Linked DNA regions of Struthio camelus. The protein of the gene in region 1 interacts with the protein of each later gene in a pairwise test. Links are inferred from orthologs where the notes say so. Each region holds a gene or a part of one and is shown on either strand. Other genes may lie near its edges. The genes, in order: EP300, PPARA and GRB2.

Region 1 (7,070 bases):
GTGCTAAATCCAGGTAATAAATTGCAAACAAAGTGCACAAGAATGAGAACCCTTCAACAGTTCTTTGTAACATACATGAAATATTTGCACCATTAAAAACCTCTGGATAGCCAGCAGGTGATGACAATCTCAACAACTTCAAAAAAATGTATCCCGTTTTGCACACTACAATGTCATATCTGAATTCCTTTGAATTTGTCCAATAATCCCTAGTGTGTTTCACCATAAATATAAAAAGATCGCCAATTAAACTGTCCAGTAGACTAACAATTAAAAGAAACTAAATATTCTGAGAAAATCTGCACCTCTTACACTGAAATAAATCCACTTTACACAAATCTTATCTGATCGCAAATGCCTTAACTTTGATACTTGTATTCATCTAACAACCCTCCAACTTTCCTACTTTCAAGCATCAGGGCTTCTCTCACAAAACCCATCTTTTATTTAGCCACCTACACAGAGCAAGGCCAACCCTGTCAAGAGAAAGAATGAAAACGATTACTACTGAATTAAGTACTGCTTTCCAAGTCTAGTGTAAAAAAACCTCCACAACTAGCTGTAGCTGAAGAGCTCCTCCAACCCTCTCCTACTCTCTTACCAGAGACCTGTTGATATCAAGACTAGTCATCTGCTCCAGTTACAACACAAAACTGCCTATAACTAAAATGCTCTGAAAGTTACACATAAACTTTTTTTTTTTTAAAACTAATGTGTCATTCACCAAGAATAAAGAGAAGGCAAAAATCAAAATTTTTAAGATGATTCAAACTGGAATCACACCCCGTGCTGAGCCAAAAACTGGGTATTTAAACCTCCTGTTTACTGTCAAACGATCAGCTTTTTTTTTTTTTAACTCTTCCTTTTCTTCACAGATCTAACTGCAGTGACTAAGACTGGTGGCACCAGGAACGCCATCTCTCATCAGATTCTGCAGAAGGCAGCCTCCTCCAACTCCCATAGGCTAAGATGATCTAAAGTGAGTTTAAGGAAACTCCTGTGGGATAGGTAACCAAGTACTTTCAGAGCAAAATGACACTAAATGCTCATCTGCTTCACAAGAAGCATTAAAAAGCAGAGCAGCCCTTTGTTACCTCCCTCTCCCTTCCCAGTACAACCAGTTCATGTTTGCTAGGGATGGGGACACCGGAGACTTCCAGCCTCTAGCTTGACTCCACAGCAACTCTGGAGTTTCCACAGAGCAGATTATTCCTCCCTACTAAAACATCACCAAAGATCTTTGCAGGATTGCAGAGAAGCCCCTTTATCTTCCCAACCCATAAGTCTACAGGGGAATTTCAGACATTTTGCTCTCGCAGCAAAGAAATGGGAGATGCAGAATGAATTGCACTCCATATTGGTTCTTAATGCAAATAAGGTGAAATAATATTTTGTTTCTACAATGCTAAGGCTCTTGATAAGCCTTAAGCCCCAAACTTGCAATCTGGATTTTGTTTTTAGTTGTTGTTTTTTTCCTTAAATCGATAGTCTATTTGAAATAAAAAACAGGTTTTTTTTTTTTTTTTTTAGAAATCCTTGTGCAAGGAAGAGTAAGAAGGATTGTAAAAAGTAAATCAAATAACCGGAGTGCCTGTTAAGAGGGTAAAAGAAAAAGAATAGAGAAATAAATCTCATGTTTCTAAACGAGTTATAAAAACACCGTACATACAGGCAAAATAAAATAAGAAACAGGCATGTATTTGTGTGTGTGTGTATATGCAAACATACACACAGAAATCGACAATAAAGTGTACAAAAGCATCATTGTAAGCAATATTTCATATTTCTGCAACTGGAATTAAATGCATATGCTTAACGAGGAGCTCTGAAATAATTACTATTATGAAAGACAAGAAAATGACAAACTGTTAATTCTTATCTGTGACTGATCAAAAGCACAATAAACTGAACAGCTTTGCTTTCAATCACTTCCAAAAAATAAAAGGGCTGAAATAGCCGAACACCCTCCTCCTACGGCATTAACACAAATAAGAGCAAAAAGAAAGAAAAAGGGAGAAATCACAGACAGAGAGGAGAAAGGAAGGAACAAGTTAAAGAAGCAAAAGGGAGGAGGCGATTTAGGCAAGAGAGGAGAGAAAAGGGCAGTAATTTGTGGCACCAAGAGGCTGAGAGCCCGGGCCCCCGAGACTGACCTGTGCCGTCGCTGGCGGACACGGAGAGCGCCGGTGAGGAGAGTTTAGGCCGCTTGGCTGAAGGCGGGCCCGGCTCCACCACATTCTCGGCCATTTTTAATTCTTTTTTAGACAATCACTCAGAGTAAAGAGACCGGGGGAGGGGGGGGGCAAAACCTTCACCTTCTTCCCAGGCCCCGAGTCAGCTGAAGAACAACAATAACGACGAGAGCGAGCGAGAAGGATCTGCCGGAGGAGGGGGCCAAGTTCCCCTTTTTCTGCCCCTCGGGCTCGGGCTCCGGGAGGGCGGCAGCGGAGAAGCGGGGAGAAGGTGGGGAGCAGCGAGGGGAAGAGGCCTCTTCCCCCAGGCGAAAGGGCAGAGCGAAGATGGGAAGAGCTGGTAAAGCCCCCGCCAAAAAAAAAAAAAAAAGAAAAAAAGGAGGGGGGGGGGAGAAAGAGGCTGGTGGGTTTTTAGTAAAATTAATCCCGGCTGTTGTGCTGCTGTTGCTTCCGCGCCGCCGCCACCATCATCATCTTCATCCTTCGGGGGGTCTCCTCCTCTTGCTGCCTCCTCACCGCCGTCATCAGCCTCTTCCTCCTCGGCGCCGTCCTCCTCCTCCTCATCGCCACAAGGAGGCGGGCGAAGGAGGGGAGAGGAGGAGGAAAAAAGAAAAAAAGATCACCGTCCTCTAGCAGCGGCTCCTTCCCCCTCCAACACCACCCTGCAAAAAAATACCCACCGCCAGCGACAGGGCTGGGGGGGAGGAGGAGGCGAAAGAGGCCGAGCGTGCGCGGGGTCCCCAGCTCCCCTCGCTTCTTCCTCGCCAGTCACTAATGGCTGCAGAAAGGGGAGCTGTAAGGATGAGGAGGGTGAGGATAAGTCCCAGGAGTCTCCGCTTCACATCTTGTTGTGCAGGGAAGAAGGCGGGGTTGTTGTCCTGATGGAGGCAGCACCGATCGCGGGATGGGAAGGTGGGGGGCGGGTTTCAACACCCTCTCTGCCCCCCCTCCCTTCTTCTCTTCTTTCCCCTTCCTCTTTCTCTCGCTCTCAGTAGCAGGGTGCCCCCCCCTCCAGCGCAGGCAGAGGGGGCCGATCCCACAGCAGCAGCAACAGCGGCGGCAGGAGCAGGAGGAGGAGGAGGAGGAGGCAGCAGGAGCAGCAGCCGGCCCCTCCCCCCCCTCTGCCTACCTTCCCCCCTCCCGGGTGCCTGAGGATGGTGGCGAGCGCTGGCTCCGGGCAGGGAGGGGGCTGCCGCGGAGGCAGGGGGCGGCGGGCGCAAAAGCGAGGGCGAAAAAGCCTCGTCCGCTGCCGGGGCGCGGCGGGGACTCCCTCCCGGCCGCTGCGAGGGTGGGGAAGGAAGCGAAGAGCTTGGTAGGTGAGGGGGGGGGAGGAGGGCGGGGAAGAGAGGGGGAAGAAGCCGGTCAGCGAGAGAGAGAGATTAAAATTAAAATAATAAAAGAAAACCGGGGCTGGGGGAGGGCGGGGGGCTCGCCCCGGGAGGGGGAGGGGGTCCTCGGCGCTCCCCGGCGGCGGGGGGGGGGGGCTGGGGCGGGACGGCGCTGGGAGCGCGGGGGCCGAGCGCAGGCTCCCTACTGCCCCTGCCTGGCGCTCGGCGGCGGCCGCTCCTGTGGCGTGTGCGGCGGGGCGGGCAGAAGCGGGGGGCGCAAGGGAGAAGGAAAGGCAGAGAGGAAAGGGGAAAGAAATCTTAAAAAATAAAAAAAAAAAAAGGAGGGGGGAGGAAAGAAAAAGAGATAAAGAGAGAGGAGGGGCAGGCTAGCGGAGGGGGGGGGGAGGCCGGGCGGGCGTCTCAGCTTCTCTCTTCTCTCCCCGTCCCCTGGCCGGGCCCCTGGGTCTCTCTGCGCTGCCCTCCCCCTGGCTCGCCCCGTCCGGCTCGGTCTCTCGCTCCCTCCCTCAGTCGCTCACACACAAACAAAATGGCGGCTGTTGTTTCTTCACTCTCCCGAGTCCTCAGAGGGGAAGCGAGCAGCGGTGGCGGCGGCCGGAAATGAGCCAAAGGGGGGGGGGAGGGAGAGAGAGAAAAGGGGGCGGGGCCAGGCTTGGGGGCGGGGCCCGGCGGCGCTGGCGCACACAATGGAACGCGGGGGGCTTGCGTGCTGCGGGAGGGAGGGGGAACCCCGGAGCGGCGGCGGCCCGTCACGAGACCGCGGCCAGCCTATCAGCGCCCGCTATTCGCCGGGCGCTTCCGCAAACTCCCTTCACTCCGCCCCTTAAAGGCAACGCGTTAAGGGAAGGGGGGGAGGAAGGAAGGAGGAAGCTTCTTCTATCTTCCTCCTTCCCCCGCCCCTGTTTTGTGTCGGCCAAAAAGTGCGCGGCGGCGGCGGCGGCGGCTCGGGGCAGGCCGGCCGGCTGTGGCAGGGCGGCCCTGCCAGGCCTCTTCTCGCCGAGTCTGCCCCGCAAAAAAGGGGCCTGGCGAGCAGTGAATCCCCAAGATACCTGTTCTCCCTTTTTCAATAAACTTCCCCCCTCCCCCCCCCAGTGACCGGAGCTACGTCAACATCACATAAAACCGGAGTTTCTGGCCAAAAGCGATGCCTAGATGAAAGGAAACGGGGGGTGGGGGGGGGTGAAGGAGCGGCCTGAAAGGGCGCCGGCTCCCCTGGGGCTCGGTGCGAGGCCGCTCCTGGGCTGTGGGCAGTGGTAGGTAACGTTGACGCGCTCCTCGATAACCGTCGCCGAGCCATTTTAGAGCTTAGTGGGGATTACGGGCTGGCCAGGAGTTTCTCAAGTCTTTAAGCCCTCATCAGCCATCATTAGCGAGGAAATACCCCTTCCTAGCCTTTTTTTTTGTTTGGGGGGGGTGTTTGGGCTTCCCCCCCCCCCCGCCCCGGTTTTACACCCTTCTGCGACAAGAACGGGAAGGGGAGGCAGGCCTGCCTATGTTTTTAATGGGAAAAACCGCGATTTCATGTGAGCGGGGTGGGCCGTTTGGGAGGAACCAGCGCCCTGCGCATCAGCTCCTGCGAACCGATTCCCCTTCGCCTCCCGAACGCTGACTTCTTTTTTGCGATTTTTGTGTTTTTTTTTTTTCCTAAAATACACGAACTGGGGAGGAGGTTAGAGGTTGTTTTATCCCCTCGTCTTGTTCCTCGCTGTGCAAGATTCGGGAGGCCTTTAAGGCAGGGAGTGCTCAGTCCTTCCCCCTCTCCCCCCCTTTTTTTTTTTTTCTTACCACCCACACTCAGAATTGAGTTTTCTGCCATTCTGCCTGTAAGACCTGTACCAGGTGTTTGGGCAAGAGCCTATTACAAGCAACAGCATAAACACCACAGGAGAGGAGAGGGCGAGAAGGAAGGAGTAGAGATTCGCAGCCCTCTAACAGTTACCCACCAGCTTCCCGCGCACATACTCACTCCCACGCTTGAGTTTCCCTTGTTTCGGCTTTATTTCGGGCAAGGTGGTTGTGGTTGTTGTCTTCCCCCCCGGCACAAAAGGGGAAAAAACGCGAAGCGGGTTACGCTCAAGCTGCTCCGAAAGGTTCTGCGTGTCTTCTCCTCGGCGAAAAGTCTCGGAGACATAGGCAGGGGCGCAAATCTGTCCGTTTGAGAAGAGAGCTGGAGGGTGCCTTGCAAGAACGACTAAGTAACAGCCTCACCTTAGAAACTACGCACGGTTCTCACAGGTTTTCCACCTGTTATGGCTACTAACGCTCTCAGAAATATTTCAGAGTTACAGAAGTCTTGTATTACCTCAATTTATTTCGCCAGATTGACTCTTTCCCTTGCTTGCGAAGCGCTTTTTTTTTTAAACACAGCTGAGATTAATTTTAACTGTTTTTAAAGTCTCCTTAGAATTAAAAGTTGACTCAAATCAGTCTATATAAGGTTTTCAGACTCTCTAGAGGCCCTTAATGCGTACTTCAATAAGGAATTAGTGCCAGCTTTATAAAGACACCAAGGTGCACATAAACACCTAAATACTTTTAAAAGTCTGGTCCTTACTAAACAACAAGCTTGGAGCAAAGCAGATGTTTCAAATAAAAGTTTTGTGACACTAGTTCCTATCTAGAGACTTGATCCTACCAATAGTTGCATGTGTGCTTAGTTTTATTTAGCACATAGTTCCACTGAAATCTCACTGTACTACTCACCATAGTAAAACCAAGCACATGTGTGCTTGCAGGATCACAACCTGAGAAATAAAAGTTAAAGGACTGAGTAGTGAGTTGTTACTCCAGAGGGTATCATGTGGATCAGTTAGTTGTTTAGCTAAGTAACAGTGAAAGCTGAAAAAGAAAAACAAAATAAAACCTTTTTTGTGCACCTTCCCTTCTGCTCTGGCTATCTATCTATTTATCCTTGGAGTGAGTTCAGTGAAGGTAGCATCTAGCCTATCTGAACCGTGGAAAACACACACCCTTTGCTGAATGCTACCCAAACAACATCTATATCCTTAATATGAGCTATGAATGTAAGTAATTAACTGATATATTAATACAATACATCTGCCTTACTAGTTCCACGACCAGAAGAATACCTTAATTCTTTATATATCAGGAAGTCATATTCAGTTGGCTTTCCACATTAGAGACTTAAACGTAAGCTGAAATATGAGGAATATAAATTAAAAAGTAGCAGGATGAGATGCTACTTGCGGTTTCTGAGAAAGAAAGCCACTCTAAAGAGAAAAGGAGGAAAAAAAAAAGGAAAACCTAGGAAGAGAGGGTCAAGGAAAAAACAGGAAAAAGATTTCAGCACCTATTGATTTTTGCTAAATACACTGAGGTCTTCTTTAATGAACCTCAATACATATGCACACAACCAGCTGCTTCTAAGTGCTCCCTGTCAAAATAATAACATGCATTGTTACTGGAAAATCATAATAAAACATAAAGCACACTAAGAAGCAAATACATATGCCTATATGAACAAGCAGGAAAGGACTGAACAGTTAAAAAGAAGGCAAACCCAACATCTCCT
Region 2 (7,328 bases), about 24 Mb from region 1:
GTTTTCATGACGTACAAGATCATAATAGGTAATCAAAACTCCCTAGGCCACTTGATTATAGAGGATGAGATTCAATATAAAGCATCAGGAGATTGATAAGAACTTTTTTTTGGACGATGTCAAGTGCTCCTTCCATACACGGAAAAAGAAAAAGAGCCTGCTGTCTACACAGTTCTACAAACGTCTGATAAGGTCAGTTCACACACTCATCCTTCCGAAATACATTGTGCTACTTAAATCCAAAAAGTTGCCATTAAAAGTAACTAGCAGCCAAAGGCTGTTTGATAGCTCACGGGAAATAACAAAATTATGATACTGGTTTAGCTCTGAGTGGACTTGTGACCACATCACAGGAACCACCACTGCTGTCAGTTTCAGTATGAGAGCAGGTATCCTCAGTATTAACATAGCGGTTCAAAATTTGAAAAGGATTGACTTTGCTGCCTGGAAAAAAAAAGCAAGTTTCAGCCCGATATTTAGTGTTAGATACTTATAAGAAAGTTTGTTCGTGTTCTACAATACAAGAACAGGTTGATGAAACCTTTGCTTCCCAGCAAAACTTATGCAACTTCTTCATGTGTGCAGTACTTCTATGACATCCAATGCCACAGAAGTGTCAGACATCATTATTTCAAATAATCCTGTCCTCACACATCTTCCATTTGAGAGCTTAGAAATAGCTACTCACACCAGTGAGATGGGGCTAATCTTAATATGAATAGACAAGGCCATTTCCAACTTAAAAACAAGACCTTTTAACACTTCTTTCCATTTCTATGTGAATGCTATCTTTTCCACTCTTTCAGAAAACAAGTGGACAGGCCTATAGGGACAATCAAGAACACGTTTTTCTTGTCAAACCACAAAAACAAATCTAGGGGGAGCTGCCACTGACCCACTCCTCCGTCCAAGGATAAATCCGGCCAATTGCATGGTAAAAGCACAACCTGTCTGAAGGATAACCTCCAAACACCTTATCTTCCATCCGGCGCATATGTTGCTTTCTCAAACTAGGTAAGGACAATTTATATGTGCTGTGTTCAGGAGATACTGCAACAGCAAAAAAGCACTTTTTAAAAGACAGGACTTCTCTTTCTCTCCCTCTCTCTCTTCCCCTTCCCCCAACACCCTGAAGTCTCCCCATAAAGTTTCCCAGATTGCTCTTTAGCCATAAACACTAACCTCTGCCAGGGCTGGTTCCTGCTGGTTCTTTAACCCCTGTGACCTCGGGGCGCCTCCCACCGCGGCTCCCCACACAGGCAAAGCGGAGGCGTGAAGCCCGAGCGCAGCAACAGTAATGGCTAAAGCATCTCCCCAAACCAGCTAACTCTCTCTCCTCGCCTTTGCCACCGCCGCCACCACGGGTTTGCAGAACGTTTCAAAACACAACGACCAAAAAAAAAAAAGGGGGGGGGGAGGGAAGGAAGACCAAGTCGTTAGCTCAACTGCCGCCGTTTTAGCGAGACAGAGACCCCGCTCCCACTGCCCGTGCCCCCTCCCCGCCGAAGCCCAAGCGAGGGACGCAGGCAGGCTCTGCGCTGCCGACGCTAATACCGTGCATTACTGCCGGCCGGCGGGCAGGCGGCTCGGCGCTGCTGCCCGCAGACGCCGGCGGCCCATGAGCGGAGCGGGGCAGGGCAGGGCCAGGCCGGGTCGGGTCGGCGCCGCCGCGTCCCCGGCCGCAATCCGCCGCGGGAGGCGCGCAGGGCTCGGCTCGGCTCGGCTCGCCCGCGCCAACCGCCGCGGCCAGCGCGGGCGCACCCCCTCGCCGCCGGCGGCCGCCCAGCGCGCACACCCCAACGGGGCAGGGAGGGGGGGGCAGAAGTACCCCAATCCCGAGTCTGACTGACGCGGGGCGGCAGGGTGACAGGTACCGGAAGTGAGGTCGCGGCACACACCTCCCACAATGGCCGCCTGCTATTGGCTCCGCGGGGAGAAACCTGTGGAGGGGGGAGGAGGGCGGAGGCCTCCGCGCGCCCCCCGCACCCCACCCCCCGCCGCCGTGACCCCCCACCCCCCACCCCGCGGGAGACTCACCCGGCGATGAGCTGAAACCAAAAAACGAAGAAATAAGAGGGAAAAGCCCAACGGGAAAACGCGCCCGGGGCAGCCCGGCGGGTACGGTCCCGTGCCGCCCTCGCCGCCAGCGCACCGCGGTCGCCCGCGGTAACGGCCGCCCGCGCCGCCCCTCAGGGCCCCGGCGGCGACGCTCACCGCCCCCCGGAGCGCGGGGCGGGGGGAGGAGGGGGGAAGCCGAGCCCGGCCCGCCCGCAAGCTTCGGTCAAGGGCAAAGAAAACGCGAGAGAGTCAAGAGACAAACCGGCGCTGGCTGAGCGGGCGAAGGCATCTGCCCGGGAACAAAGTCTGGGCTGGCTCTGCCTGCCTCTTATCCGCCCGCCGAGCTATTTGCGGAGCGCGGCGGCCAGGTCGCGGCGCTCACGTGAAGGAGCGGCGCACGCAGCGCTGCCCGGTCACACGCAGAGGTAGCGGGGCCGGGGCCGGGGCCGGCGCCTCATCCCCGGTCACGCGTGAGGCGAGCGCCCAGCGCCTGCCCGCCGGTCCCCTCCCTCCTCCCCCCACCCCTCCGCCGCCACGCCGCGCGCTGGCCCCGGCGGCCGTTGGTCCCCGGCGGCCGTTGGTCCCCGCCGCGCAGCGGGCGCTCGCGGGGGACGGGGGCTCCCCAGGGCTCACCGCCCCGGCACGGCTCGGCCCGCCGCGGGCCGGCAGGGCGCTGACATTGCCCGGGCACCTATGTGTTTTTTTTTTTTTAAAAACCTGTGGCGCGGGAGGGTCCGCTGTTGGTGGGGAGGTCGAGCCGCCGACCCAGCTCCGTCCCGAGTCCGGGCCGCTTGCACTGGAAAAGCTGGGGCTCGCCTTTGATGCGGAGCACCGTCAGGAAACGGGGTACCACCGGGTTGGGTGTGCTGCCTGGGGCACAGCAGCAGCGGCCCGGGCGGCTCGGCGTTACAGGCTGACAGGGCGGCCCACTCCAGCGGCATCCTCCTGACCCACGCGCCGGATGGAGGCTGCTGGCTACCTGCAGCTGTTTTTTTTTTTTTTAAGGGGTATTATTTAGTTTAGAAAGTTATTACAGGGAACAGCTACCAAAAAACAAACACACACACACACACACACACAAAACCCCTAGAAAACAACACACACACCCACAAAACACAAAATCCTCCACAAAACACAAAATCCTGAAGAAAAATTGTCTGTACATGACTGATTTCTTCAGTCTCTCAGGGACTGAAGGTCTTCAAAAGGCACCCAAAAGTATAAATACATTGTTTTTAAAAGATAATCCTTTTTTTTCTTTCTTTTTAACAGAAATTTCTACTCTTTGACTGCTTCATGGATATCACATTTCTTGATTATCCTCCTGGCCATCATCAATTTTTTAATTGCATTTTTACTTTTATTTTATCATTCCATTTGAAAGAAAAGGCACCTTATTGTTGACTAGATCAGTCTTTACGTGGATGCCAATACGAGAAAACATGACCTATTTCAGATGTTTCTGATATGAACCTCTTCTATGCCTAGCAAGCCTACACACATAGGTTTTGCTTATTTTTACCCTTTCACAGAATCATAGTTTGTGGCCATTCAGAAGGGAGACACATAGGACCAGAAAGGAAGAAAAGGAAACTCTGTCCTGGAAACTCAGTCTGTACTACTGCAAGCATCATATTTAATTCCATAAATTTCTCAACCTTGAGCTCAAACACACAGATCTGCACATTAGAGCGTTCAATGTAGAATCATCAGTAATGACAGAAGATGAAAAACATCCAGAAAGCATATCTCAGTATAGATCAATAAAACATAGTATCAACAGCAGAAAATAGAAGCTAACGAAAGCCCTTATTTACAGTAATTCAAGTTTCTTTCCAAAATATTTCAAAATGCTATATTGGCTCTGGTAACAAGCTGACTTCTACTGATTAGTAGTGCTGCTCCAATTTCTACCCCAAGGCAGGCCAACACCCAATGCCACAAGCATTCAGCTGCTTTAAAAAGTTAACGTCCAAGTTTACACCTACATATCCCACCCCACAGACGATGTGTAATACAGCTCAGCCAGCAACAAGGATCAGGGCCTATTTCCATAAAAGATGTTATCCGAGCAGGTGTGCTTTTCATTCCGTTCGGTTTTATTTCTTTTCTTGTTTTTATTTTATTTTTCCTGAAAATATACACAAACAGAAAGAATACAGTTAAAAAACATATATATAATGTTTTAATTTGCATGTGTAATCAGCCCTTAAAGATGTTTCCCCCTTGCTTTGTCAAGGAAGCTGTGGAGAGCACAAACACTTTCCTTTGATTTCCGTATTGAACTTTTGGACGAGATTTAGGTGGTCATTTTGCATACATACTTCTACTGTTGTTACCAAAGATGGCATTGTACGAACACTATAGTGAAATTCCCGGGCGGGGGGACCCCCCCCCCCCCCCACACACACACACTTAGCAAGGTTGTGGGCTTTTGCCATTGGAAGTTACAAATTTGAGAGATCTACCACGGTCGGGACTTAGTCATTTCTAGTGAGAACACCTCCACACTGTGGGCTTTTTCCTAGCTAAAGAGATCAGCTCTCTTTTTGAGGCTCAAATAGACATTTCATATACCTCGCCCAGGGTCACACAGTAACACTAAATTAACCCAAAATGCAGTAAAAATACAAAAATAATTTTTTGTGATTTAGAATGAGTTGTGGGCTGTTTCCTGTTTATAAGCTATAGATTACCCATCCCACACTACCTGATAACCAGACTCTTAACAACCTATGTCTCCAGCAGAATCAGCTAAGGTGACTGTGTTATCCAAGACCTGGAGAGGAAGTTTGTTAAGTCCTATTTTGGAACTGTTTTCTCTTAAACAAGTTACATAAATTTTGTCCATAAATATGGCTGGTGTTGCAGAAAATACCTATAATAAAGATGGAAAACTTATCTCACATTTAACAGCTTTAGTCAAGAGACCATACTGAATCCTTTTGTACATAAAGCCCTTTTAAAATGTAGATTATTGATTTGATTGCATAAATTCATATCACAGTTCAGATCTTAATAACACACTAAGTATCATAAACATCCATTAGCTATTTAAATGTGCCAACTTTTAGAAATCTGAAATTAGGTTGCTTACTAGGCTTTTAGATGAAATAAGCTTTAATTAGTGTTCTATTCTGTTAATATGCACTAATCATATTAATATTGCTTAATAGATTGACAGTTGTGAAACAGGCAGACAGACTTATGCAGTAGCTGATTTTCCATCTTTCCAGTATCCAGCTGGTTTTGTCATAGATCTTAACAGTGACAAGTAGCATTTCTGTAATAAAATGGGGTGGGGTTTTTTTTTTGCAAGTTTTAATCAAAATATACTGAATATTGTAACATTTATGACTGTAGAAGTAGATTAACAGTTCAATTCAGGACAAGGCACAAACTCATTCATAAGTTTGGAAAATGGACTATAACAGCAAAAATTCGCTATGCTTTCACCACCTCCTCCAACTACTGGCAAAATGCAGGAAGTGGGCTGACCCTGCGTTCAAATATTTGCTGTGGTTTCTCCTGCTGATCTGATGATAGGAATTTTAACAGACAATGTGCCTCATTTTTGCTGTGTCATCATGAAGGACCTTCCTAACAAAGTCATTATTTTAAGTAAAATAGATCCTTCCCATATAAGTATATACTTCAGCAGCAACTGTAGAGACCAGACATAGTACCCAGCATTTTATAAGCTGAAATGCCATATATTTGGTCCTGTTTCTCTTTTTTTGACTGCTGAAGTTTTAATGAACTGACATTTATTTACTGAAGTAAAATTACTTTAATTTTATCACATTCTTATTCTTCAAAGAATTTAAGTGGCCAGACTGTCACAACAGAACAAGTTTTATGAATAGACGTCATTAACGGAAGCATATAGAAAACACCAGAGCGTTATTTAAGACTTTTTGTGCATGCTGAATCCTGCACATTTGTGATTGGTCAAAATAATTTGAATTCAAAGGCTCCAGGTAATAATGAACGGAAGTAGATTATATTTGATTTATTTCAGTTAATATGTGAGTTACTTGCAAACACAGTATTTTTTATTGTTGTTTTTGTTATTACTGTTAAAAAAATAGCTCTCCCTCTCCAAATCAACCCCCTTAAAAACACCCAGACTGGTGAAGCAGAGGAGACCGGTGAGATCTATGTACCCTGACCCTCCTTTATGCCTACAGTTCAGTCCTTGTGTAGCAGCAGTTTTCTTCGGGAAACTCCTGCACTGCTTCATTTTGTTGTTCTGGAGCAAGCTGGCTTTAAGGTTTGGTTTTAGGTACATGTCTCTATGTTGGATTAGACCAAAGTTCTAAGACTAAGAGTGATAAATGAAAACATTTTAAGATAAATTAGATCAGGCTCATCTGCCTCATTTCGACATGACAGGTTATGGATAGAACCAGGATTCAGGTTATACATTTACACAAGTCTATTTTGCCACAAAATTATCTCAATATCAGATTTTTTTTAAATCTATGTCAAGATTTCATTTTCCATCAAAATAAGTGATTAAAGTCGTTACTTGTATTTCACTTTCATAAGAGATGTTTACCATGCCATTTCATCAGTGTAAGATATGGATTCAATCATTCAGATCATTTTTATCCATCAGAAATATCCTGTCTGGAAATGGCATTACTCATTACTCTCTACTTACTAGAGAAATAACTCATTATCTGTCAGAGTATCAAGATCAAACATTCCAGATGTCAATCCCCCTCTTCCTGTGGCAAGAAGAGTAAGAACAGTTGTATATAAGATGATGGTGCTTTAAACTTATCAATTAACCCTTCATAGCCCACAATGTGTAGAATTTCTCTGATAACTTATATGCTTTTTATGCTGGTACATTGGCAGCAATGATGAGAACTGTTAGATTAAATTTTTCTTAATGTGATCAGGCTCTCCACCCATCATTACATCTTTTTCACTTCTCCATTTCAATTAAAAAGTATTCTTCTAAGGAAAAACTGCTACTGGTGAACAAGCACCTTTCTTACACTGATCGAGGAAGTACACATTGAGAGTAAATTAAAGGAGATGGAGAAAACAGTACCCCCTCCACACTCTTTCTGAAGGCGAGCCCACACTTGAACCTTCTGCAGGACATCAAGGAACTGTAGGGGAATCTTTCAAATGTGAAAATAGTTTACGGAGTAAGTAATTACTCTTATGATCGAACTGTACTGTTCAATTCCTCCCTCTCTTCTCATCTGAATGGTTTCTTCCTCCAGTATGAGATTTCTTTTCTATCTATTTCT
Region 3 (7,964 bases), on another chromosome or scaffold:
CACTCCTAAAATGCTACATTCTTGTCCAAAACCTCATCCACAAGGAAAACCATGCAAGATTTGAATTCCTTGTGTTCTGTATTTTATTGCTGTAAAATTAAAGATAACCGTGTCAGGTTGTCATCAGTAGCTTAACACTAACAAACATCAGTTTTGCAGAGAAAAACCTCATGTGGAACCTGTGGCATCACAGCCTCTGCAGAGAGCTACGGGGACAGTAAGAGAATCAAGCCTGAGGGGGACACATCTCTCCAGTCAGCCTGTCTACTGTAATTCACACACAAAAAACCTCAAACCTCCGTACAAAGAGGCAAAGCAAGCCCTCTCTACCACACCCCTCCGATTTCCTCCCCAGACTCTGCAGCAGTGTAGATGTCTCTCCAAATCATTGGCTGAGTATGTTCGCTCCTACTGTGTGGCCTGGCTTCCTGTGCCTTTGGCATCCAGCTCGGGCCTTCACCTCACGACTCCTTAGAGGCCTCCCAAAGGAGCCTCCCGCCGCTCTACGACAAAAGTAGCTTTTCAGAGGGGGAAGCCTGCAACGGCCCTGTCAGGGAGCCCCCCTCCCTCACCCCCCACAGCACCACCCAGCCATGATCTGCCTCTGTCACAGCACCGGGGCCCCAGGCGGCGCTCAGCATCCCCCCCCCCCCCCCAAAAAAAAAAAAAAAAACAGATCCTCCATCCCTGGAGGACTGCATCCCCCCAGCACTGCTCCCCCTCCGCAGCAGCCGGGCAGAGACGGAGGGACAGAGTCGCCGCCGTGGCGGCAGTGTTCCTCCTGGCCGCCGCAGGGGCCGGGCGGCCGGCCCTCAGGGCGGGCCGCCCTCTCAGGTCCTCCTCAGAGCCAGCCCCGTCCTGCCGCCGGGGCGGATGCTCGGCTTCGCGCGCCACCCCGGCCTAACCAATCACCGCACCGCGTACGGGCGGCCGCGCGGGGTCTCACCAACCAGGCGCCGGCTTGTTGAGGGGGGCCCGAAGCGCCGCCTCGGGTCCCTCGCGCCCTGGCGGGGTGGGGGGAGGGTGCCAGTGACCCAGATGGCGGCCCCGGCGGCGCGGGGGGAGGCCCGGCGGGCGAGCGGCTGCCCCGCCGAGACGGCCCGGCGCGGCGGGTGAGTACAGGCCGGGCGGCGCGGCGCGGCGGGGCGAGGCCGGGCACCGACCCGCCGCGCAGCGGGGCCTGGCGTGTCGCCCCCACCCGGGTCGCCACGGCGGGGGAGGCCGGAGGCAGGGCCGGGCCAGGCCGCCCCCGGGCTCCCGCGGCGCCGTCGCCTCCGGCCGCCCCCGGCTCGGGGCGGGGAGACGCCGCGCACCCGGCTCGGGCTCTCCTGCCGCCCCTCGGCGGGGGCGGAGGCCGCCACGCTCCCCTCAACCCGGGGCACGCGTGGGTGCGGCTGCCCCTAGCCAGGGGGACGCGCAGCCAGGGCGTTTCGGCAGCTGTGGGGGCTACCGGGGCCCCGGCCAGTCTGCTTATTCGAGCCAGGCTCCTGCACACCACAGTATCTCCTCCCAGGAGGAAGTTGGATGGGAAGTCACCCCCCCGTGAGAGAAGTGCCCCCACTGCCACACACAAAAAACCCAAAGCAAGCAAGGGAAACTGAAGTAGACCTAACAGGAGTTTGCATAACACACTGAACTAGCTTTCACTGGCTCATTGCTGTCATGGCACGCTTCATACTGTACATGAAGGTTTCAGGGAAAATTCAAAATTCTGAATAAAGTGCCCTTAACCTGCTTACCTAGATCATTTACAAGCTTAGATGGCAGCCTGGGATAATGCCGCCATCTGTTAATACAGCCGGTTGTTTCATTTTGCTTCACTCTTGCTCCTACCTCCTTGCAGGCTTTTGATCAGCAGGCGTCTATGGCATTCTGCTTTGCCTCAGACTTCCGCTTGTTTTCCTCTCCAAAAGTTGGGATCTCTGTAGTTCCTGGATTATGTTATTACTGTTTGTCAGTTGTTCAGAAGCTTCCTCCTTTCAGGTTAATACAAGCCATTTATTGATAAGGAAAGGCCTAAAAAAAACCCCAGTTAAAAGTCCCATTACATACCGTACAAGGAATTTATCTTAGACAATCCTGTCTACCCAAAAGGTAGACAAAAAAGGAGGGAGAACCTGCCCACAGGTGTAGAGGGTGTTCTGGTTATGCATTTAAGTCTCAATCCACACAAAAAGACACTCATACTGTAAAAAAGTTTCTTCCAAATTAGTCTTATCAGTTACCAAGACAGCTGCAGATACCAGCCTAATGCATTCACCCATCTTCCTGAGGCAGCTGCCAAGTAATACATACTATTTTCTTTTTTTTTTGAGGGAAAGTTTTATAGCATGCTTTTCAAAAAAAGCTATTATACTACAACTGCTGTAGTAGAATAAGTTCATATTTGAACATACAGCTCATACACAGTGAAATACAATTGTGTAGTGCATAACATTTATGAAATACTTTAGGTTTTTCCAAAATTTAATTCTTTATGTAAACAAAGTGTTACACTTTGATGCCCACTGCACTCTGTTAAACTAAAGGGCTTGCTCAAGTATCATAGCAAAGCTTGAATAACCTGGCAAGCATAGTTGTTTTTCTTTCAAAAGAGATCTGCTTAATAGAAGCGTATAAGTACTTAGGCTATACTGGTTTTATATAAGATATCCTGTGCTCTGTGCAGTAGTAGCTTATATTTCTTTGTTCTCTTTTACCTGAGCACATCAAAAACCTTTGCATATACATGTTTCTTAACTGTGGCTTTTTAACAAACACATTATCAACATTTTTAATTAATGAGAAGGTTAAGATATTTGTACTTTTAGCCTAGGTCACAAAAATATATATATTAATACTACAAGTAGAACCAAGGAAACAACCCTTTTTCCTCCAATATGTTACATCTCAAACACATCAAGTCTCTATAACTTTGAGGACAGCCTTACCTCTGTTACATTCCTATCCAGACTCTGACCATGAGAAGCCAGAGCAAGCACTCCTGAGAACGAGTTGCTGTAAACAAAAGGACATCCCAGAAGCAGGGGGTGGGTTGTGAGGGCTTATATACCCCTGTGACTTGGAGGGGATTGGCCAGGAGCAGGGCTGGGGCCAAGAAGGTCTGGCCAAAAGACAGGTCCTTTTGTAGGGTTGGCCAGAGGGAAAGTCCTGCCACCTGGCCTGCAAGGAGCAGAGTTTGCTCTGGGTTGGTTGGATTTATCTGTGATTATATATGGGACCATGTGTACAGTAAATAGGGTACAGAAGTTGTTGATCACAAAGCTTTAACGAAACTTGTTGTGAGAATGGCAAAATACACGATCTACTGAACTAGTCAATGCCTTTCCTACATAACAGTTGCGCTTTGTTTTGAATGTATGTAGGAGCTTGATCTTACTAATGGCCTTCAGGTGCCGTGCCTCTTCTGGGGAACTCCTAGAGAGCACCAGCCCATCAGCACTGCATTTGTTAAATATCTCCAGGTGGCAAACACTGCTATAAGAGTGTTTCTGCCTACCTCTACTGTAAACAATTATGCTTATAACAGCCTTACTTATAAGCTGGAATTAGGAGGAAAAAGCTGCACTTTTATCTGTGGGCCTCTGTAGGTCAGCAAAAATTTCCTGATTTTCCAGGAGATCCTATACATGCAATTTGGGCTTTTAACAATTTTATTTTGGGCTGTTACCTTTTTGAGTTTTTCTGGTGTATCGGTACTTTTGTTAATAGACATAGTTATACAATCCTGGTTACCATAGTTACTAAGTCATGACGATGAATGACATCTGTCACTTCTGCAGTGAATTCTTCCAAACATCTGCTGTAAAATGTTTTAGTTCTCATTTAAGGCATCATCCCACAAAGCAGATGATGTCTCACCACCGCTGCAGAAGCTGGAGGGGCCCTGATGACATTCAGATTTGGGCCTTTTGTTGCATTTTTCCCTTCAAACCAGGCTGAATACATGTGGCTGTGGCGGGCTCAGAGGCTGTGAGAAGGAAACAAGTACCTGAAGCAGAAAAGATAAAAGCTATCTTTAATCCACAAGCTCTCTTTTTTTTTTTTTTTTCTTCCAAGAAATGAAAATGAGCACAGCAAATAACTTTCAGATTTATTATACCGTAATATGAAACAGTATTGGCCTCTGTGGAGACAGTAAGATAGATTAAAGTAGACTGATCATTGTTTTGATCATATCTGTAAAGTTACTTCTTAATTCACCAGAACAAAATTAAAACAAAAATAAATATGTTCTTTTAATTGTGTTACATCTGTTCTTTTAATTGTGTTGCATCCTGTTTTACCAATCATAATCTTGCAAGTAAACCTATGTTGTTACTGAGGGCTGCATACCTGAGATAGAAATGGGTGCACCAAAGCTATTTCTTACTCCCCTTCCTCCCTCCTTGTTGCCCAGTTTCTGTTTTAAGTCCCCACTGTCTTTTGGAACAACAGTCTGATGTGTGAGTCCTTCGCTGAAGAAAGAAGGAAGAAGTCAGAGCTTAATTTTCCTGGAAAACTCTCTGCATATAGGATTTGAATAAAAGCTAATATTACCCTAGAAAGGCATAATTGTCAATTGGAAGCCAAATTTTATATTCATCCGAAGTTTAATTCTGTTACTGATTCAAGATAGCACTCTCTTAATTCCTGTCATTTTAGCAAGAGAAATGAAGTCTCTCTGAAATACACTATGGAGTCTTCACAGCCACGAACAACTGAGGCATTTGACCACCAGTGAGTTGATAATACTTAGCACATACACAACCCTAATTCGGAGGGTCTCACTTATTTTACAGATACTAATGAATTTGCTTCACAGTGTCTCTGTGAAGCAGATATGTATATTCCTCCTGTAACACAAGAATATCGAGGCAGAGAAAGTATAGCTTGCCCCAAATTTGACAAGTTAGGTTCTTCACAGGCAGATGCTGAAGACAAAAGTGTAAGTGCCATTTCTCTTGCTGTAATTACTTTGTACTCTCAGTGGGTCTCAAGTCAATTGACAGTGTCACTTTATGCACCTTTGGAAGCCCATCTGTCTGCAAATGTGCCTATGCTGCAAATTATCAGGCAGACATCAGCTATTCGTGAGTAGCAGGACCGTATGGTTCTGCTGATATCAAAACAGTCAGCTCTAATCTAAGCCGTTCTTTGCAAGGCAGCTGCTTTTTCTGTTATTATCTGCTCCCCTGTGTTTCTATTTTGGGTGACAGATCAGACTTCTGTTCTTGAGGAATTCACTTTTGGCAGCAAGAGATGTTCAGACTCCCCATCATTTTTTATAGATTCATCCATGTTGGGAATTTTCAGTAAATAACATGAAAGTATCAGCGATGCACCACTTCATGGAAAACACTATCATTAAGTTGATTTTTTTTTCTTCCCAAAGACTTGGAGTGTGTGCTGCTTCTGAAACACAGTTTTCTTTCCAAGTGTCTATTGGTTGTTTAATTATCTAATCTTTCTTTTTTACTAATCATGTTATAAATTTTGTACATTAGGTACCATGCTATATAGTTTCCTGCTGAATTTCAGCACTGATATCTCATATTGATGTTGTGAGGTTTAGTGGGTTGTGGTGCTTTGAAATCCTTGGATGAAAGATCTGAAAGCATAGCATTTATTTATTATCTGTAGTTTCCATACGACAGTGTTATTCTAAAGATGATTAGGTATATGAATGTTTGAATAGACCCTTGCAAAGCTCTGCTTCTGATATTCAGAAGGATGCTTCAAACACTTGATAATCACATCAGGCTACGAGAAGTGCTCTTCCCTCAGAGCACTCCTGAGCAGAAGTGAGTTAAGGGTGATAGGAATATTTTTTTTAATTTGGAAAGATCTGGATTACTGAATGCTGGTTCTAATCGCCTGAATATGCTGAAATTTGAACGCCATATCAGCCAGTTCTAAATTTCATTGGCTTCTAGGCATCAATGTACAGCATCCTGAGGAGAATGGAGGGAAGACTGAGGAAAACTGGGTGCAGTCAGAGCCTATGGTGTCTGGTTAGAACAGCCACAGCTTCAAGCATCTCTGTCTGTGGCTTAACACAGCAGGCCCACTAGCATGTTCCCCCAAAGCAATCCCACTTAATTTCTGCCCTGCTGTCTGGCAGAGTTTAATGTGTTGACAGCGTGAGTGACTTACTGCCCAGGCAGACAGAAGGGAGTTAAAATAGCCTTGCTGTTGGGTAGGGGTGATGGGGAGATGCATGTGCGAGAGTGGGAATTAGAGGGATCCCTGAAATAGAGGGGAGGGGAGCACCCAAGGGCCTTGTAGTGGGTGGAGCAGATGAATGCAGGATTCTGCAGGTCTCTGCAGATCTGTGCATTGCCCGTTGCCTACAGAATTCATGAATTGCTTCAGCTCCTCGTTCTGTGAGGCTGTGTTTTCTGATTGTGCACAAGGTGTCTGTAGTGCAGATAGGTGATTTTAATTGGCATGGCATAGTTCTTGCAAATATTCTTGCAGGCTTTTTACTCTGATAGAGCCTGTATTTGGGGGATGGGGGGAAAGTAGGTACATTACATTTTAGATGGCTCCAGTAAGAAACCTAGTGCAGAAATTTAGGAAAGATTGTTTCTCATTGTAGCCAGTCTTTGCCTTTGGCTACAGTTGTGCTAATAATAGGATATCCTAACATACCTAGGACTAGCTTTGTTTTGAATTTTTGGCTCTTAATAAAAATCCTTTTAAAAGTGTAATTCTACTCTGAAAAATGAAACTTTTTGCTTGTTTTGTATATCCAGATTGGCACAGGAAAGACGTGGCTTCTTTGCTTTCTCTGTTTGAAATGTCTATAATCTAACTATTGTTCACACCTTAAATAGGGAAGATGAGAGAAACTGAGCTGCTTATGGGTTTCAGATCAGTTGGTTCAGACTTTGGAGAAGCCCTAAGCATGTATGATGATGAGGCAGTGCTGGATGTACCACTCGTTACTTTTACAAGCTGTTATTACCTTGTTCATTATAACAGCTTTTGAATTTCTCTTGGCAGGGAATATTCCCTCTCTGCAACCAGTCTTTTGTATGTCTAACACCCTTGTTGTATACACTGCTTCATAGCACTGAAGGACTTCAGGGTGGTGTTCCTAAACATGCAAATGATATGCCTTGAACTTTAAGGAGTGGTGTGTTTCACGTTCAAGATCACATTTCAGCTTGGTGTCTAAAACAGAATGTCACTCACTGCATTGCAATGAAGCCTCCTGCCCAGCTGTCTCCGTGCATGACCCCCTTCCCTCCAGCTACAGCCACCCACCACAGCTGATGATACAGTCTTCCTGGGATTAGCACAAACAGCTCAGGATGTTTTTTCTTTTTCTGCTTTTGTGACTTTGGCTTCCCAGTTACCCAGTCATGCCACTGATAGTTATGCCTTTAAAGTCCAGATACAGAGAAAAATTCAGGCACTTAATTTTTGCATATAAGTGAGAACAAGGTGCATAAATCCTTTGGTAGATCTGCAAATAATTTAGAAGAAGAATTATAGAGTTTTTTCTAGCTCATTTTTGGTCAGTGGCCATATTGTCCTTAAAAATCAGCTCCTTCTTACTTCCCCTTATGTTGAAGGGGGTCCTCAAGTTAAAGGCTCCAAGCTGCTGTGTGAAAGCATACAAAGGTGCATGTTCCTCCTTTGTACACCCAGCCCTCTTTGTCAGCTTTGCTCCAGTAGCTTTGATCCTCTCTTTGCATTTGCTAGTTGGCCAGGCAGGGAGATGAAGCAACTGAAAATAGCTTCATTCCCTTGGTGTGTGCACATTGACAGGGGTCACAGAACCGAAAACTAGGGCAGAGTCCAGACTTGTGGCTTATTTTATTGATAGGCCAGCCGGAAGGCAGCCAGAAAATGGCACTTGCAAGTGGTGGTTACTGTATTGCGAGCAGTTCTTTGCTAACCAGCAGTCTGAATACTGAATACTTGCCGCTTCCCAGGATGCAGGTGCAGTACTTGCCTGCCTGAGAGGAAATATT

Evidence for each region.
Region 2: the proteins of EP300 (region 1) and PPARA interact in a two-hybrid assay, tested with the Homo sapiens proteins (3 studies listed by BioGRID). The link is inferred for Struthio camelus from reciprocal best matches to the Homo sapiens genes EP300 and PPARA.
Region 3: the proteins of EP300 (region 1) and GRB2 interact in a two-hybrid assay, tested with the Homo sapiens proteins (2 studies listed by BioGRID and IntAct). The link is inferred for Struthio camelus from reciprocal best matches to the Homo sapiens genes EP300 and GRB2.

The regions. Positions count from the first base shown.
Region 1 is NC_090942.1:57,018,495-57,025,564, forward strand, and holds the start of EP300 (histone acetyltransferase p300), read right to left. Parts: upstream 3,047-7,070; 5' UTR 2,248-3,046; coding exon 2,154-2,247; intron 1-2,153. UniProt on the Homo sapiens protein: Functions as a histone acetyltransferase and regulates transcription via chromatin remodeling. Acetylates all four core histones in nucleosomes. Histone acetylation gives an epigenetic tag for transcriptional activation.
Region 2 is NC_090942.1:80,656,343-80,663,670, reverse strand, and holds the start of PPARA (peroxisome proliferator-activated receptor alpha), read right to left. Parts: upstream 3,026-7,328; 5' UTR 2,776-3,025; intron 2,579-2,775; exon of another isoform or gene 2,321-2,578; intron 2,228-2,320; exon of another isoform or gene 1,829-2,227; intron 1,745-1,828; exon of another isoform or gene 1,555-1,744; intron 1,342-1,554; exon of another isoform or gene 1,183-1,341; intron 1-1,182. UniProt on the Homo sapiens protein: Ligand-activated transcription factor. Key regulator of lipid metabolism. Activated by the endogenous ligand 1-palmitoyl-2-oleoyl-sn-glycerol-3-phosphocholine (16:0/18:1-GPC). Activated by oleylethanolamide, a naturally occurring lipid that regulates satiety.
Region 3 is NC_090960.1:8,334,818-8,342,781, forward strand, and holds the start of GRB2 (growth factor receptor-bound protein 2), read right to left. Parts: upstream 3,016-7,964; 5' UTR 2,931-3,015; intron 2,017-2,930; 5' UTR 1,834-2,016; intron 1,113-1,833; exon of another isoform or gene 977-1,112; intron 1-976. UniProt on the Homo sapiens protein: Non-enzymatic adapter protein that plays a pivotal role in precisely regulated signaling cascades from cell surface receptors to cellular responses, including signaling transduction and gene expression.